Linked DNA regions of Canis lupus familiaris. The protein of the gene in region 1 purifies or fractionates together with the protein of each later gene. This does not show direct contact. Links are inferred from orthologs where the notes say so. Each region holds a gene or a part of one and is shown in the gene's direction. Other genes may lie near its edges.

Region 1 (5,899 bases):
TGTTTTTCTTCCCCACAGAAAGTGTCAGCCCCCCACTCCTGGGATCCTCTCCAGCTCGGGAGGCCTGCAATGGGTCACCCAGCCTTCCTGGCAAGGGCACCACGAGCTCTCATTCGGTCCTCCCCTACAGGGAGAAGCAGCGGGAGCTGAGTGCAGCAGGCACAGAGGCAGGCTCTGCACTTAGGGGCTCAGGGGAAGGTAGGTCCTCCTAGCTGGACTCCCACACTGGCCTAAGTTCCACTCAGGGGTGCTGTGGGTGGGGCCCAGACTGGTGCTGGTGGGTGAGGCCCTGCCTGCTCTGCCCTCATCTGGCATCTGCCTCCAGCCCCCAAGGATCCACTGGCCCAGCTGTTCCAGGTGCTGCAGGACCTCCGGGAGGCCCACAGATCCAGCCCAGCCAGCGTACCGCCCTCGGAGACAAACCGCCTGCTGGAGCTGCAGACGTGAGGCCTGCCCCACATGCCCTCACTGAACCCCCTGCCAGGTGCTCGGAGACCCCCCCCCTGGTGCGCTTTCAGCTCTTCACATCACTCCGTCTCACTGGGGAGCGGGGCTTAGGGCTCTCCTGGGCTGGGTGGATTGGGGGCCAGAGGCCCGTCCTTGCCCACCTGTAGTCTCTAGGGGACTTTGTGAGCTCCTTCTCCTCTATGAAGCCTGGCTGTTCCTCGCAGCCCTTGCAGCCATCGCTGGCACCACCCCACTCTCTCCAGGGGCCCTCTCCTACCCCGGCAGACCTAGCCAGAAACCAACCCTAAGATGGCCCTTGACCAGGTGGACTGATACTCCTTGGACTCACAGAGGTGGGAGGGAACATGGGGCCCACCCAGGAGACCAAGCCTTGACCTCAGCATCCCCTCAGCTCCTGGCCATCACATCACCTGCTCCCCTCCAGCCACTGGCTGGGCCCCCCCGGGAGAGCTTTGCGGTGCTGTTGCTGACAATAAACCTGCTGTGACTGCTTGGGCTCTGGGGTCTTGTGATGGGGGTCAGTAGAGGGACTGGGCTTGGTGTGGATTCCAGTGGCTTCTTGAGTGTGGCCAAGGACCGGAGCCACCAGAATAACCTTCGTGCATCCCCTCTGTTCACCCCCCCACACATCCTGGGAGGACTTGTTTCTTCCCCCAACTGCTGTTCCCACCATACTCCTGGGACCCCTGCTCCATCCCCCCCCAGGCTACAGAGCCTGAACAGTGCCTCACCTTTCCTTCCTGCCCCCAGGTGGCTGAGCCTGCACCCCCCCTCCGCCATCACCAACACCCTGTTCTCTGGCTCCTTCCTTAGGACCTCACACAAATCCTCATGCTTTTTGAATCTCGGTGGGTTTCCAGGACCTTGTGGTCCGGAAGTACAGAGCCCAGGGTCCACTGCACCCTAATGAGAGTGAAGGGGAAAGTAGTGTGCACTACTTATGGGGCTGCCACAGGTAGAAGCCTGGGTTTGAACTGCATACATAGCCCCCCAGTGGTGTCACCGCCCACCCTCTCTTCCAGGAGGGTCCTGGATGGGGTGGCTGCTGCAGCCTGTAGGGGTGACAGTGAAGCAGGGCCTGGCACTGTCCCCACGGCTCATGTACCCCCACACCTCTAGGTTCTGTCAGGCGGGAGTGAGGCCCCTTTGGGGTAAAAACTATACCCCTTCTCTCCACCCCCAGCCAGCCAAGTGGCATCCTAGCTTTGCCCGGATGGCCCAGAAGGGTCGCGGCTACGCCCCTGTGCATCATCCCCTCATGCCTTCTGTTCCTCACCAGTTAAAGCCCCCCCCGTGGAGTCCAGGCTGGTGTGGGCCTCTGGCCAATGGCACCTCCTCACCCCAGGGCCCAAGCTTAAGCAAGGAATAGCCCTTCCCAGGAAATGGAGGCTCCTGGTTTCCCGGGCAGGTCCCCGGCGGCTCCTCAGATGCTGCGGCTACTGGAGCCGACGGGAGACCCAGCTCCTTGCCTCAAACAGCGCAGGTGGGGTCCGTCCACACAACTGCGGTCGGCAAAATAGCAACCAGCAGTGCCAACGCACTCCTCTCGGCCGCCAACCGCCTCCGCCGCCGGGCCGTCTGCCTGGCAAGCAGCTCATCGGCCCCAAGCCCGCTCCGCAAAGGGGCGACCACGCGGGGGAAGGTGGGGGTCGCGGCCGGCGGCCTTCTGGTCCTAGGACCTGACGCCTCCTGCCGGCCCGCACTGCGCCCTGGCTCCATTCTCCACTCGAGGGCCTCGCGCTGGGCCCTCCAAGCGCATTTGCAAAGAAGGATCTTGAGGGGGGGGGCGGCCCCCGGGGCCGCCAACGCCCCCGCCAACGCCTCACGCATGCGCAGAGCCACCAGCGCCTCGGTCCTCCCGGGCTCCTCTCGCCTGCGCTACATCCCCCGGGCCTCCAGGGGGCGAGCGGCCGGCCTCCCCACGGGGGCCGTAACCCGGAAGCAGCCGCTAACCCGGAAGAGGTGGCGTCGTAGAGGGTCCTGCAGGCGTCGGGGGCGGCCCTGCGGCTTCGGCTGCGAGTGCGGCGCTAGGATGAACGCCCCTCCCGCCTTTGAGTCGTTCTTGCTCTTCGAGGGCGAAAAGAAGTAAGTGGAGCTGGCGGGGGCGAGCCTGGGGTCCGTCCAGTAGCGGGAGACGGAAGCCTCTGTGTCCGCCAGATTCGAGCCAGCCCTGCCGGGCGGTGGCGACCGACCCCCTTCCGCAGATGCGGAAACTGAAGCTCAGAGAGCCAAGGAGCTGCCCCGGCCCTCGGGGAGTGGCGGTGTGCGTGGCGCCAGAGTGCTTCCCCCCGGGATCCGGCAGCCCCCTCGCTCGCGTGCCTGGCCGCCGCCTCCTGCGGCTGCAGCGGGGTCCGGCTCTCAGGCTCTCGTCCCGCCTTCGCTGGCCTCCGGAGAACCTCCAGCGGCTTCTTGCCCGCGGGGTGCAGGCGGTGTAGTCTTGCTGTCTCTCAGCCTGGGCTTGGCTCCTGGCTCCCCCACTTAACGTCTCCGTGTCTTTGGGCAGGTGGCTTAGCCTGCCTGAGGCCTGCTTTCCTCATCTGGAAAATGGGCTTCTTGCTCTGTTAAATCACAGGATTTTCTCAAAGGGGAGCTTGAGATGATTTACGGGAAGTGCTTAGGCCAAGGCTCAGCACACAAAAGACTGTCTTAAACGTCGGCTTTTCCTTCTCTTAACAGCCTGGTGTGCGGGGCTCTATGTCTAGCCCTTGCCAGCCACTTCGTCTCCCTTGGGAGCAGTGGTTGGCAACTAGGGGCTATTTTGCTCCCCAGGGGACTTTTGGCAACGTCTGCAGACACTTTCGTCACATAGGGGCTGCTGCTGGCAGCTAGTGAATAGAGACCAGGGATACTGCTCATATCCTGCAATGTACAAGACCACCCCCTGCGGGAAAGAATGATCCACCCTAAGATGTCACTGGTGCCAAGGAGCAATCCAGAGTAGGTGAGGGTCCCGCAGAATCGGGGCATAGCCACTCTGCTGCTCTGAGTCAGAGGTCTTTATGGATGAAGAGATGGAGGAAGGCTTCGAGGTGGAAGTGGGGCTTAAGCCTGAGTTAAAGGGCAGGATTTATCCTGGGGGGAGGAGGAGAGCCCCGTTTCCCATCTGTTGCTACCACCTCTTCCTAGGATTACCATTAACAAGGACACCAAGGTACCCAATGCCTGTTTGTTTACCATCAACAAAGAAGACCACACACTAGGAAACATCATCAAATCGTAAGTTCCGAGTCAGAGGCTCTCAGGCAACGTTTAATGGGGCTCTTTGAGGCAAAGCACACGTCCCAGATTTCCCGAAGTCTCTCTGAGCTGCCGGAAGGTCTGGGTGCTTGTTCTGGCAATTCACACGTTTCAGTACGTTTTCCCCAAAATGCTGCTGCCCTGGATCTGTTCCCACAGCTGTATTTCTGTACTGGTTCATTTATCCGATGAAAGGAAGTGAACGTGTGGCAAAGCCAGAGAAACCTAGGCCGACTTGCCAGAGATTGGAACTTATTAGAATGAGGGGAGAAGGTGGGGGAGAGGCTCTGTGATTATCCGATGCTCATGTTGGTTAGCAGGTGTGTAAGTACATTAGCGAGGTCCTGGCCAGGTAAGTGGTCAGTGATGTGGTTGCTGTTTGGGCTCAAGGGCTTTTGTCAGAAAAGCACCATGGGTGAATCTAGGTCTTTCCGAGGGTCATGTGTTTGAGACCACTGGGCAGGAGCCCACCTCACCTCTGGGCTGAAAGTAGGAGGTGGGGCTGGCTCTCTCCAGTCTGGCTGGCCCCACCCTGAGCCATGCCGGTGCTGCTCCCAGGCCCTTCTGCTCCCCTACTCTGGGAGGCATGTCCCCACCTGTGCAAGAGCCTTCCCTCTTGGTGCCTGCTGCTGACTGAGCTGCTCCAGAGAATCCCCCGCGGGCCCAGGGCAGAGCATGGCATGCACACTTCACCTCACAGCCAGGCACAACGGGTCCCAGGTGTGTGGGCAGCAGCGTTGACCAAAGGGCTTCCGTTTCACTAAGCACTCAGAGCCTGAGCCTTTCCTGCTGTGCCAGACGCTCTTACTGGGCCAGAACCAGCACATTGTGTTCTGGTTACTGAGCACTGGCTGCCTGGGGAGGGCTCTTTGGTGCTGTTGCAGGCCCCCGACTTCCCCTGAGGGAAGTTTGCTGGAAATCCTCTTTACCAGCTGGGGTCCTGGATCCTCATGGATGTAGGGGTGGGGGGAGGAGGGAGGTGTCCTCATGAGGCAGATGTTCCAGATGTTTTACTTGGAGATATCTTTGGGAAATCAAGAGCAGGAAAGCAGCTGGAGTCAGCCATCTCCTCCCTGCCCCACCCCCCTCGCTTCTAGGCCTCAAGCCAGTGGGAAGGCTCCTTGGTTAGAGGCCTGGTGGTCCCAGGTGCTAGGCCCAGCCCCCATGTCACACTGCCCATTTCCTGATCTCAGACAGCTGCTGAAGGACCCCCAGGTGCTGTTTGCTGGCTACAAAGTCCCCCACCCCCTGGAGCACAAGATCATCATTCGAGTGCAGACCACACCAGACTACAGCCCCCAGGAGGCCTTCACCAACGCCATCACAGACCTCATCAGCGAGCTGTCCCTGCTGGAAGAGCGATTCCGGGTGAGGAGCCGGGCGGCGAGGGGTGTTTGCATGCTAGCCAGTATGGCCAGAGCTGTTCTGATGCCCACACCGACAACCCCTGGGTAGTTTCCGGATTTATTGTGGGGTGGGGGCACGTGGTGACTGAGCAGCAGTGCCACTACAGCCTTGAACGAGCTTGGACTAAGGGGTTTTAACAGAGTTGAGGTCGGGGGCCTGCTATCTGCAGGCATGGGTGGGAACTGTACTGAGTGCTCCAGGGTCTCCTTGGGACTGCTCCCCCAAGCCTTCTCTGGTTAAGGCCTGGCTGCTTCCAGGTATCTATCTGTACATGGGGCAGCTCATCCCAGGCAGGGTGGGGTCCCACAGTTGAGGCCGAAAGGGGATGGTCCCACCTGTCCACGCAGAGGGCCTTAAAGTCTGACTTGGGTGTCAAGTGGGAAAGATCCACAGCTTCTCAGGCAGATGGGTGGGGTGTGCTCAGAAGGCCCTGGGGTTGCTGACAGGACAGCAGGGCCCGGGCAGACCTCGGGTCACTGGGGCTGCTTTCCCACTAAGCAGCTGCCCCCTCCCTCTCCGCTCAGGTGGCTATTAAAGACAAGCAAGAAGGCATCGAATAGTGGGCTGGAGGAGTCTTGTTTGGCTGGTTCCTACCCTGCACTGGAACCTTCTCCGGGCTTCCAGTAGAGGCGAGCAGCTTCCCTGGCTTCAGGGACATCTTGTTGAGCTCCTCCCCCCAGAGTTGGTGTGTCCTGTACACGGAGTGTTTTACCTTCCTAATAAAGACCTGGCTATGGGAAGCAGTGGACCTGCTCAGTTTCACAGCGGACAGGCCCTGGGCCCCCGA
Region 2 (5,942 bases), about 52 Mb from region 1:
AAAAAGACCCTTTAAATTACCAAATGTCATTGATTTCTAAACAGGTTAATTCTATAGTATGTAATACCTCAATAAATTTTTGAAAAATATACCTAGATGGATCACAACTTGTAAAAAATAATTAGCTATGTAAAGCATTTTATACTTTAGAAGAAGTATAGCACATCAATTAAAAAAAAAAGAAGTACTAGCACATCAATTTTGACTTCATTGTAGTAATACGAACTTTTAAAATAAGTATTTGAGTTAAAAAGATGAGTTAATTTAAATAGTTGATTTGAACGAGTTATTTTACTTAATTCATTCACAGATTTAAGTTAACTAGAAATGACGATACTAACAAACTGGAATTTTTTGTAAACACTAATCTGGGTCATTGATTCCTAGGTGATAAGACCCCAACTCTATGTGCTTGTGTGTGTGCGTAGTTGTGTATTTTAATCCCAGGATCAGATGTAAAGATTAAATGGGATAAATGTTGATGAGAGGCTATATAAATTGCCAGTGTTGTACAAACACAAGAATGGCCTACCTAAATTGTTTCTACTTTAACAAAAAGAAATCCTAACTGGCTTATGACAGATAAGAGACTCTCCAGGTGGGGCAGAAGTAATTTAACAGGCCGTCCAGCTTCTTTCCTCCCGGGTTTCAACTTCTCTGATTTCTTTCTTCTGCAAACATTACCGCATGCCCACTAGGTGATATAGGTCCTTATTCTTGATCTTCCAGAAGGGCCTAGCTGTCCTCCTTCTGGTCTCCCCCTTCTTCTTCCAAGTCAAGGTGTTCTATCTATAAAAAACGTCCTGCCTGCATGGGGGGGGGGGCACCCCCAACCCTTTTTCTGGTTGCATTTGGCACAGCTGAAATGAACTGTTATTTGTGAAACTTTTCCAGGTATTAAGAGAGACCCTCACCTCCCACCCCCCACCAGCCAAAGTACAGTCAAGTAGTCAAGTTTTTAAATTACAGAATTACAGATTGGAAGACTGGGAGAAGAAAAAAAAGAAAAAAGAAAGAAAAAAGAAAAAACTACTCTCTCCTCTCCAGCTGGATTTCAGTTCCTAAACTTCTGCTTCTCACACCCTTGTTCTAAGGAAGTGAGCCTTTCCCACCTTTCAAGAATACAATGAGGGCTCAGTGGCATGTAAGCCCCAAGCCCAAGTGAACAAAGCAGCCACTATATTCTGTCTTCATCCCCATAGAAACCTGGAGCACCCTCTTTCCTCTGATTCCCACAGGGTCAAGGTTGGTTTATTTTCAGCAGATGGGTGGCGAGGTTATTGTTATTTATTGCCACTGTCCTGATGTTAGTTTGGCTAAGTAATAAACCGAGGGTCCTTCTGGGGCATGGAACCTTCCACGGAGCTCTCTGTGCTTCGGCTAATCAACCAGATTTTGCAAAGGCCACGAAAAAAAAAAAAAAAAATCAGGCCTGCGCCGACCTCTCCCGGCCTCCGAGGCGAGGGCCGAGCGCCCTCCCGAGGGCCTGCTCCACCTCCCGCCAACTCGGAAAGCGCCTGCGGAGCAGAGGGGGGCCCCGCTTGCACCCAAAGGGGAGAAGAAACAGCTCGGCAGCCGACGGCAGAGCCGACATTGACACCTGTTCAGGCGGACTTAGGTGAATCTCCCTCTTGACTCCTAATTCCTTAAGTGGAATCGCCCCTAAGCACGAGTAAGGACTGCGCTCGAACCCCCGGCGGGGAGGGAGCGGGGCGGTGGAGGGTGCGCCTTCGGGGGTGCGGGCTTTGCAGCCCCCGCCGGGCCCGGGCTGTCTCCGTGTTTGAACTCGGCCCGCCCTAGAGTCACCGCGAGAACCCCCCCAGGTCGTCGAGCTGGCTCGCGCCGCAGCACAGCAAGTCAAGGCAACGCAATAGGAAGATTGAAAAAAAAAACGCGAAGCACGTGGCACCCAGAAGCTCACTTTTGTTGGCCCCTCTCCCGACCCGTAGCCGCGCCCTATTATGACCACGTGGGAGGCTCGCTCTATAAAAGCCGGGCTCGGAGCGTCCCGTCGCCACAGTCGCTTCCTGTTCTTGGCGCGTCGGTCGGCTCGTCGCTGAGGCCGCGGGGGCCGTGAAGATGGCGTCTACCAGCCGGTTAGTACGTCCGGCCGAGCCGCGCTCGCTGAGGGGCGGGCGGAGAGTGCCAGAGTGGGCAGGCGGGCCCCGGGGGGCCGTGTCGGGCAGAGCGTTCCGGAGGTGCGGGGGGAGGCGGTGGACTGGCTGGCCGAGCCGGACAAAGGCGCTTCCAGACGGCAGGGCTGTCAGGGGCGGCTCAGGGGCTGCCGACCGCGGCGCTCCCACAGCGGCGGTACCACCCGACGTCCTGGCTCGTGAGCTCATCCGGCCGCCACCCTGTGAGGGCCGCTGTGTCCCCAGCCCCCCCTCGTTTCGCGTCTTTTTTTGGGGGTGGGTGGGGGGGGGTGGATATCTTAACTGTGGTGTTTTTGTTTTTGTTTTTTTTGTGTGTGTTAATTTTTTTCTACGCTTGTTTTTCCAGCTGTGGCTCAACCAGCCCACGATCCTTTCCAAAAAGCGGGAAAGGGTTAGTTCCAGGCCCCTGTCGATCTGACAGCTGTAGAGTTAGGGACGTCAGCCCGAGGGGAACTGATTACCGTCCCAGAGGCCTTCCGAAATGGAAGCTGGGGGCGTTTCCGAAGAGTTGAGAAGTTCCCTTCTAAGAGGTTTATATTTTTACAGAGGTCTTCTGCATTCTCCTGAAGAAAATCTTGCCTGCAGACAATTGCTTACATACGCTGGGAAGTTACTAAGTCTTTTTTTTTTTTTTTTTTTTAACACTAAGATATTTTTTTTTTTAATGTGATATACTCCTATCTACAGGAAATAAGTGCAGTGCCCTTAAAGACAGCCTTTAATCCTGTGGTCCGAAAAAAATGTTTGTAGACCCTAATTAAGTCTCTCATTACCACTACGAGGTAGATATTAGTATTTTTGCATAAGTGTAAACTGAGTCATGCCGGTGTTGACTTTTCCAAGGTCAGTGTCAGAACAGAGTGTAGAATCCCTTATCAGTTTCCTGTTACCACGCAGCTGGCCTCTAGTTAGCTCATAATGTATTGAAAGTGTCAAGTTCTATAGCTTCTGGGGAGGTAACTGGCATAATTTTTTTGAATTTGTTATCCTCTGTGAGAATTGAGTTCCCAGTAAAAGCCAGTATCACAAAACAGCAAACTGGAGAAGTCCGGGCCCTTTTGTGGTACTGCTAAGACTTACTGCTTTATGTTACTGTACTTTTTAAGGGGGGAAAAAAAAACGGTGTTGGGGGAGGCAGTGTTAGCTAAAACAACTTGGAAACCACTCAAAGCCAGGGACACTCTTGTTTACTGATTGTACTTCTGTGATTGAATACTCAATCATTCGGTCTGGGTGTGGCTCTGTTGGGAAAGGCTTTTCTTGTAGGTAAGTGGAAAACTTGAGCTTCCTGAAGACACCTAACTACCACGTCTTAGGGCAGTAGATCTGAAAAGTAAATGTGGTCACACTTGGGCACAGCTTTTCCATAGGATAGGACAGGAATTTTGTAAGAAAAATTTGCAACAGTTAACTGTAGTTAAGTTCATGTGCTAGATTCTTTATCAAAAGAATACACTTACCATTGTGTGTCTCTATTTTCTTCATTTGTTAAAAAATAATTTTTGAAATAAATTGTTTCTGGACACGTCCAGGTCTTAAATCTATGTGTCATTGAGTTGTCCATCTCTAAATTTTCTACGGGTGAGAACAAAGGTAAAATGTTAGTATTTCTGCCTTTTAGTTTGTTTTTTTTTTTCCCCCCTTGAGGGAGAATAGTTACTAGATTATGAAACTGCCTGGTGTTTTCACAGAGAAAAACACAAATGTTGTGAGTTCAAGTCTAAACTCCACCATTTTTCTGTAATTTCAGGCTAATCGTTTTGTAAGCTTAATCTTTAGAAGGGAAATAACCTTTATTTTGCAGGGTTGCTATGAAAATGAATAATAAGTGTAGCACTAGGCACACAGTGGGGACCCAATAAGTGATCGTTATAAAGTGAGATTTGGGTTTATCTGGCTCCTTAGGTACTCTGAATTGTTTTAATGTCTTGGGTGGTTGTTTACTCCATTCTTTCTCTTTCATTTCTCTCTCTCCCTTCCCCCACTGCCCTACTCTTGTGGCTCCTTTTTGATTACTCTTGTGGATATTCTAATTAAAGTTGACTGCTGTATCATGATTCATTTTATTTTTTTTATTTTTTTATTTTTTTTATTTTTTAATATTTTATTTATTTATTCATGAGATACACAGAGAGAGAAGAGAGAGGCAGAGACACAGGCAGAGGGAGAAGCAGGCTCTACGCAGGGAGCCCGACATGGGACTCGACCCAGGTCTCCAGGATCACACCCTGGGCCGCAGGCGGTGCTAAACCACTGCACCACCAGGGCTGCCCCTCATGATTCATTTTATTTTGGATACGTAACACACAGTAGTACAAAAACAAAAGTGAAAAGAAGTTTCTTGCCTAGCTCTCAGCCATCTAATTCTCCCCTGAAAGCAGCCATCATAACCAGTTTCTTGGTGTTTTCCTAATAGTTTAACAAACTTGTTTAACAGTGCCAATCTCTCTTGTTCCCCCAAAGTCCATTGTAAACAGTTTGCTACCTTTTTACCATTTTTGTGAAGTTAGCACACATTTTAGGTGCACAGTTCAGTTAAAAATGAGCGCATAGACATAGCTACCACCCCAGTCAAGAAATTAATTGCCACTGGCACCCTGGAAGCCTCCTTGTGCCCTCAGCCATTACCCCCTTTCCAAACATAACCATATCCCAACTTCTAATACCATAGATTTATTTTGCCCACTTTAAGGTTTATATAAGTGGTTTGTTTTCCTCTGCCTACTTTCTTTTGATCAGTATTTTTGAGAATCATCTTTGTTACTGCATATAACTGTTATCATACTTTTTCTAGTTTTGTATAAAATCCCTATGGGTGCCTAGGTGGCTCAGTCGGGTAAGCGTCCAACTCACGGTTTCAGCTTAGGTCTTGGTCTCCTGGTTGTGTGATTGAGCCCTACATCAGACTCTGTGCTCAGTGCAGGGTTAGCTTCAGATTGTCCCTCTCTCTCTCAAATAAAATCTTTAAGAAAAAAAATCTCTAACTTTTTTCACTTAGCATATCTTTGAGATATTTATATATCATTTATATGCATACATACAAGATAATTCTACTTTTTAATAGTGCAAAATATATGGCCTTATCTTTGTATGCTTTGTGCCGTATGGCTGCCTATTTGTAATTATTGTTACTCTGTTAAGATTTTCCTTTATTTCAACATAGTTTTTCATAAGTCATACTAACCTCTTAATTTATGTCATAATTTTTAAAATATTTTCCTAATATGAATTTATAAAACAAACTTCTATTCCCCCATTTCCCAATGAACAGATCCAAGACATGTTCTGGTTAACTTGAATTTATACATTTTGGGATGTGGATTATTTTATCAGTTATTCAGTGGGAATCACCTATGTTGAGAGTTGATATTCTGAATTATATTTGCTGATGTTAGAAAAATTTACCCGAACCACAACTATCTGTTTGCTTACTGTAAGAATGTTTAATAATGTCTTTTAGATGTATATTTGCGATGGCCGTAATTTAACCTTGTGCTGTAGTATTTCAAGTGAACTTTTATTTTTATTTTTTAAAGATTTTCTTTATTCATGAGAGATAGAGAGGCAGTGACACAGGCAGAGGGGGAAGCAGGCTCTTCACGGGGAGCCTGATGCAGGACTCCATCCCAGCACCCTGGGATCATGACCTGAGTCAAAGGTAGACACTCAACCACCGAGCCACCCAGTCAGTGTCCCTCAAGTGAACTTTTAAAGAGGGCTTATTTTCCATGATACCAAACGTTTAATTATTGTGAGAGAAATAACTACTAAATCTGTGTTAAATATCTT
Region 3 (5,700 bases), about 50 Mb from region 1:
CAAGTGTATGAATAGCCCTAAGCCCTTTTTTGTTTTCCATGTTCCTACTGTAGAAATTTGATTCTTAAATGTTTGATGAATGAGTGGATAAACAATAGCATCATGTGGCTATTATCTTCCTAGTAAAGACTAAAAAATACTCATAAAGATTGCACTTACCTTATTCTTTTCATTTTGAATAATCTCTAGTAGCTGCTCTATGTGCCCTTCATCTATGCATCTTTGGCCTGCTAATTGAAATAGGCCAAAATCTTCTTCTTTGAAGTCTTGTTCTTCTAGGATTTGCTGACAAAAACAAAATGAAGACAAAACGTTTGGTGAATAAAAAATTCAATAACTACTTGATTTATTCTCTCTGGAAATAAAAAGGAAATGTGTTTGAATTCTGAGTAAGTTGCACATTAGCATATGTGTGAAAATTAGGATAAGCCTGAAAAAGTAGTTTAATGATCTTGAAATCCACACTGCCAAAAAAAATTCTACAATAAAGATCAATATTAAAAATTTTAAAGGTTAAAAAAAAAAAATGTTAAAGGTTAGACAAGTAGGTCACTTGGAGAGATAATCCAATCTGCCTTCTGGCCCTCCTGCTATTTATTCACCGGTCAAACAAAGCAAGGATTAGAGAAGATAAGCAATTTGAGTGACCCTAAGTATAACTAGAAATAATCTTGCATTTAACTTTACAAGAAGAAAAATTACTTACACATCTCATTATTATGGACTGAAGTTCTTCCACAGCCATTCCTCGTTATTTTTCCTAGTTTTTATGCTGAAATATAAAACAGTTAACTATCAGTGATATTACAGTATTAATGAGTTATGTTTCATTCTGATGAATTATCAGTAAATACAATAAGGAAAATACGACATTTTAAAGCTGAAATATTTTGACTTAAAAGTATTTTAGCCTAAGGAGTAAAAAACTGTTGCATCTTTTAGGTTTTCTAGAATAGTTTTGAAAGATCTACCTGAAAAAAAAAAAAAAAATCCTCCTGGGTACGCCCAAACAGGAGCGCAAATATCGGCTACGTAAATGGCTTTAAAAAGGCTAAGTATTTCTTTTCTGAAAAAATTTCCCAAAAGTGTTCCTGAAATCAGTTCTAGTCATTAGGGAATCTTAAAAAATGCTTCAATGTCCCACTTGACAAACACTGGCGCCTACACAACTCACCCCAGAGCGGGTGAAAGTTCCGATGCCCACAGTCCCAAGTGCGACCCGGACGTTCTTCTGTAAGCGATGCGGTCCCCCAGTCACCCAGCTGGTGTAACCGCCAGGCCGCACGGACGCGACGCAACCGGCAGCTCCCGGGGGAACACGGCTCGGCTCCCGCAGGCGCCGTGGGCCCAGCGGCAAGACCCTGCCCCAGGCCCGCAGCGGGAGCTGGGTCAGCCGGGTCCCCGCGGCCGCGCGCTCCAGAGCGGATAAAAGCCCAGCGCGCGTGCGGACTGCATCCAAAGGAAGCCATTTCTCCCGATTCCTGCGGGCCTAGGCGTTCGGGCCCACGACCTCGTGGGGCCTTGCGGGCCGCGGCGCCGGCTCCCCCGCGGCTCGCAGCTGGCCCCGAGCCCCGGCCACCCCCGCCGCCCGGGCGCGTCCACTTACCGCCGGGCCTCTCGCCGCTCTCGGCGGCTTCCCCCACCTCCTCCGGCCGCGCAGGCCTCTCCGGGCCCCGCCCCTCCCCGGCCGGCCCCGCCCCGCGCTAGCGACGGGGGGCGGAGCCTCGGGGGGAGACGCCGGGTCCCGGGCTGACCTTCTGACGCGTTTCCCATGGCTGACTCCGCCGGGCCGCGCTCGCCCGGCCTCAAGGCTCGGACGCCCCGCGCTTCCCGAAACGCCTCAGGTAAGAAGGGCCCTGAGAACCGAGCCCCTCGAGTGTTCCACACGGAGGCGCGCGGGACACACCCGGAAGACTGCTCCGGGGCAGAGAAGGCCCAGAGCGGCCCATCCCCGGCCTCGGGTCTTCTGGGAAAGACCTCCACACCCTCACCTCTTCACACCGGTGTTCCAAGATTTGCCCCAGAACCGGTCTCTGAGGGAAAGGGAGTAGAGGAGCTGGAGTCTAGAGCTGGCTCGCCAGAAAGGGCAAGCGACCGGGGCAGCCCAGCTTGGACATGCACTCCTGCTTTAGCTCCGGGTCCTCTGAGGCGTCACCCCACCCCTGCTCTTTCCCTGTGAGCGAACATTCGGGGGAACATTTCGAGTTGCCTACACCTCAGATTTGCAGGAGCCCCCGTGACCATGCAGCTGTTTTACATGAGAAAATTCAATCCCCGAGGAGATACATTTTAACCAAGAAGAATTCGGGAATAATTAGCAAACTGAATTCCGCTTGCCCATTTCATTTGTTTTGCAAACGGGATTGGAAAGTAACGTGTGGGGAAGAAAGAAGAGAGGTTGTCTGCAGTTTCAGTAGGAATCTGTCCTGTAAACTAGTGTGTTTCCGAAGACTTGAACTCCACAATAATTTTATTATTATAAATATAAAATATTTTTATTATTATTGTAGGTGCTAAACAGACGAATGCTTTAAAACAAGAAGATGCTTCTAAAAGGTAGGAGAACTACTTGGACAACTGCATTAGCTTATCTATTTATCTCATGTTAATTTAACCATTTTTATAAACAAGAATGGGAGATACTTAAAAAAAAATTATGCGAAACAAAGAGAGGATCAGAAAAGCACTATAATTTCTCATATATAGACTCATTATATCTCTCTACTCCAGGCTTTAAGAAAACCAAATCAAGACACTTTTAGATTGCTGGTGAAGGTATGAGTATCTGTAGAAAGATGTCTAAGGGAATAAACATTCTTCAGTTAAGCAGGTACTCCTTTTCCACCTCTTCAGGTACACTTGCCTTTTATTACTTTATATACCAGAGACTCCAAGAAACCTTTACTGTTCTTCGTTTACATTATGTCCATATTTTCAGCAAAAAAAGTCCTATTCTGTTGCTTGGCATCTCCTAAACAGACTAGATTTACCTCCTGTCACAAAGTTTCTAGAATAGGAGTAGTTTATGAGAATGATTTAAATACATAGGTCAATATTTTATTCTTAAAAATAAAAAAAAAAGATTTATTGGGATACCTGGGTGGCTCAGCAGTTGAGCATCTGCCTGTGGTTCAGGGCATGATCCTGGAATCCAGGATCAAGTCCCATATCAGGCTCCCTGCATGGAGCCTGCTTCTCCCTCTGCCTGTGTCTCTGCCCCCCCCCCCCCCCACCGCCCGGGGTGTGTGTGTGTGTGTGTGTGTGTGTGTGTGTGTGTGTGTATGTATGTCTCTCTCATGAATAAATAAAATAAAATCTTAAAAATATGTTTATTCATTTTAGAGAGTGAGCAAGTACATGTGTGGGATGCAGGTGAAGAGGGAGTAGAAGAAGAGGGAAAAGAGAGACTCTAAAGCAGACTCCCCACTGAGTGTGGAGCCTGACTCAGGGCTTGATCTCACAATCCTGAGATCATGATCTAAGCTGAAACCAAGAGTCAGATGCTTAACCACCTGAGCCGCCTAGGGGTTTCAGTGATTTATCCTTTTATATCAGGCAGGTAGTGGCTGTCATTTACTCATTCTTTCAAAAATTATTTACCAAATAGGAGATATGCCAGGCCTGTGTTAAGCCCTGAGGATATGGTTTTGAGCAGAATAGACACAGTTCTTTTCTACTGGAACGGAGAAATACGGATTAAATTGTCACAACTGAATACATAATTATATATTGTGATAAGTGCTATAAAGGAAAAGACTATGAAGTTATCAGATGGAACTAATAGGTGTTCAGATTAGCTGGGGATTCTCGGGGAAAGACTTTGGAGCCCTGAAGGCTAAATAGGCATTAACCAGAGTCCTGAGGAGAGTCCAGCCAGAGATGGCAGTATATATGAAGGCCCTGAGAAGAAAAAGGTCAGTTCAAGGAAAGGAAAGATAACCGTGGTAGTGTATGGCATTTTGAGCAAGGGAAGAAAGGAGCATAGGAAAAACTTAGGATTCCATTCTTAAAGAATCTGGTGGGCCGTGGTGAGAAATTTAGATTTTCTAAATGCAAATATGAAAACATCAAGTAATAGAGTGATGAAATTTAAGTTTAAAAAGTTTTAAGAGGAGTGCCTGGATGGCTCAGTGCTTGAGCATCGCCTTTGGCTTGGGGCGTGATCCCCAGGTTCTGGGAGAGTCCTGCATGGGGCTCCCATGAGGGAGCCTGCTTTTCCCTCTATGTCTCTGCCTCTCTCTGTGTGTCTCTCATGAATAAAAATCTTTAAAAAATTAAAAATAAAAAAATAAAAGTTTTAAGATGTTAGCGATGGTGATCATCTGGGAATAGAGAAATTGGATGGATTTGAGATCAATATTTTTTTAAAGATTTATTTATTTACTTGAGAGAGAGCATGCGAGAAGAAATTTAAAAAATTAACGGGTGGGAGGTACAGAGGGAGAGGGAAAGAGGGCTTTCTGCTGAGCAAGGAACATAGTACGGGGCTCACTACCATGATCCTGAGTGGAAACCAAGAGTTGGACACTTAACCAACTATGCAACCTGAGTGCCCCTTGCGATCTATTTTAGAGAATATTTCCCTGTGGAGTAGCATGACTTGGTTTTATGATACACTGCAAGAGTAAAGTTAATACTGATAATGATGGTAATTTGCAACTTTCTTCAATAGTGTGATCTGACCACAAACCCAAGAAGATTATATTTTATTGTGAGCATCATAGTGTGAGAAGTATAGATACACTGAAATGTATTGGGGGCAAATTACCCAGGATGATGAAGCAATTAAAAATCCATGGGGTGGGATCCCTGGGTGGCGCAGCGGTTTGGCGCCTGCCTTTGGCCCAGGGCGCGATCCTGGAGACCCGGGATCGAATCCCATATCAGGCTCCCGATGCATGGAGCCTGCTTCTCCCTCTGCCTGTGTCTCTGTGCCTCTCTCTCTCTCTCTGTGACTATCATAAGTAAATAAATAAAAATTAAAAAAAAAAAATCCATGGGGTAACTAACCAAATAGTTGTTGAAGGGAATGAACCTTTATAAATCTATGCCCACTGAAAAATACTTCAACATCAATCCAATCAAATACTATTAAGCCAGGAATTAAAGAGCTTTACAAAAATGTAAAATAGTTCTTCTCTTTTCACAAAATACGTAATAGGTTCATTACTACTTTTGTTACATGAATTAATAAGTGCTCTACATTTTTCTCATTTTTAATCCAAATATGGTGAATATCAATACATAAAATCCACATAAGCAGAAGTTCTAATTTTTAGAGTGTAAGGCAATGCTGAGACTGAAAAATTTGAGAACCATTGCTATACACCATACTGTCTGTCATCATTTAGGACCAGAGGGCAACAGTGACAAAGGGCTGTTCATGGGAAGCAGCTTAGGCATCAGTCAAGAGTGAGTGTAGTGGGGCGCCTGAGTGGCTCAGTGGTTGAGCCTCTCCCTTTGGCTCAGGTTGTGATCCTGGGGTCCTGGGATCGGGTCCTGGGATCAAGTCCCACATCAGGCTCTCTGCATGCAGCCTGCTACTCCCTCTGCCTGTGTCTCTGCTTCTCTCTCTCTCTGTGTCTGTCATGAATAAATAAAATCTTTTAAAAAATAAAAATAAAAAAATAAAATAAAAATGTGAGTGAGTGTAGTGTGGCTCTTACTGCAGGTTGAGGTAGTTAACTGCTTGAGTCAACA

The links. Proteins that work in one complex are often made in the same cells at the same time.
Region 2: the proteins of POLR2J (region 1) and GTF2B purify together in Homo sapiens (affinity purification with mass spectrometry; 3 studies listed by BioGRID and IntAct, with this or other methods). This does not show direct contact. The link is inferred for Canis lupus familiaris from reciprocal best matches to the Homo sapiens genes POLR2J and GTF2B.
Region 3: the proteins of POLR2J (region 1) and RPAP2 purify together in Homo sapiens (affinity purification with mass spectrometry; 5 studies listed by BioGRID and IntAct, with this or other methods). This does not show direct contact. The link is inferred for Canis lupus familiaris from reciprocal best matches to the Homo sapiens genes POLR2J and RPAP2.

What each region holds. Positions count from the first base shown.
Region 1 is NC_049227.1:7,620,492-7,626,390, forward strand, and holds POLR2J (DNA-directed RNA polymerase II subunit RPB11-a), read left to right. Parts: upstream 1-2,395; 5' UTR 2,396-2,500; coding exon 2,501-2,553; intron 2,554-3,594; coding exon 3,595-3,684; intron 3,685-4,898; coding exon 4,899-5,073; intron 5,074-5,636; coding exon 5,637-5,672; 3' UTR 5,673-5,852; downstream 5,853-5,899. Other genes in the region: RASA4B (ras GTPase-activating protein 4B), read left to right, coding at 326-614. UniProt on the Homo sapiens protein: Core component of RNA polymerase II (Pol II), a DNA-dependent RNA polymerase which synthesizes mRNA precursors and many functional non-coding RNAs using the four ribonucleoside triphosphates as substrates.
Region 2 is NC_049227.1:60,007,863-60,013,804, forward strand, and holds the start of GTF2B (transcription initiation factor IIB), read left to right. Parts: upstream 1-1,937; 5' UTR 1,938-2,079; coding exon 2,080-2,096; intron 2,097-5,942. UniProt on the Homo sapiens protein: General transcription factor that plays a role in transcription initiation by RNA polymerase II (Pol II). Involved in the pre-initiation complex (PIC) formation and Pol II recruitment at promoter DNA.
Region 3 is NC_049227.1:57,136,703-57,142,402, reverse strand, and holds the start of RPAP2 (putative RNA polymerase II subunit B1 CTD phosphatase RPAP2), read left to right. Parts: upstream 1-1,695; 5' UTR 1,696-1,771; coding exon 1,772-1,844; intron 1,845-2,510; coding exon 2,511-2,556; intron 2,557-5,700. Other genes in the region: GLMN (glomulin), read right to left, coding at 160-285, 707-745.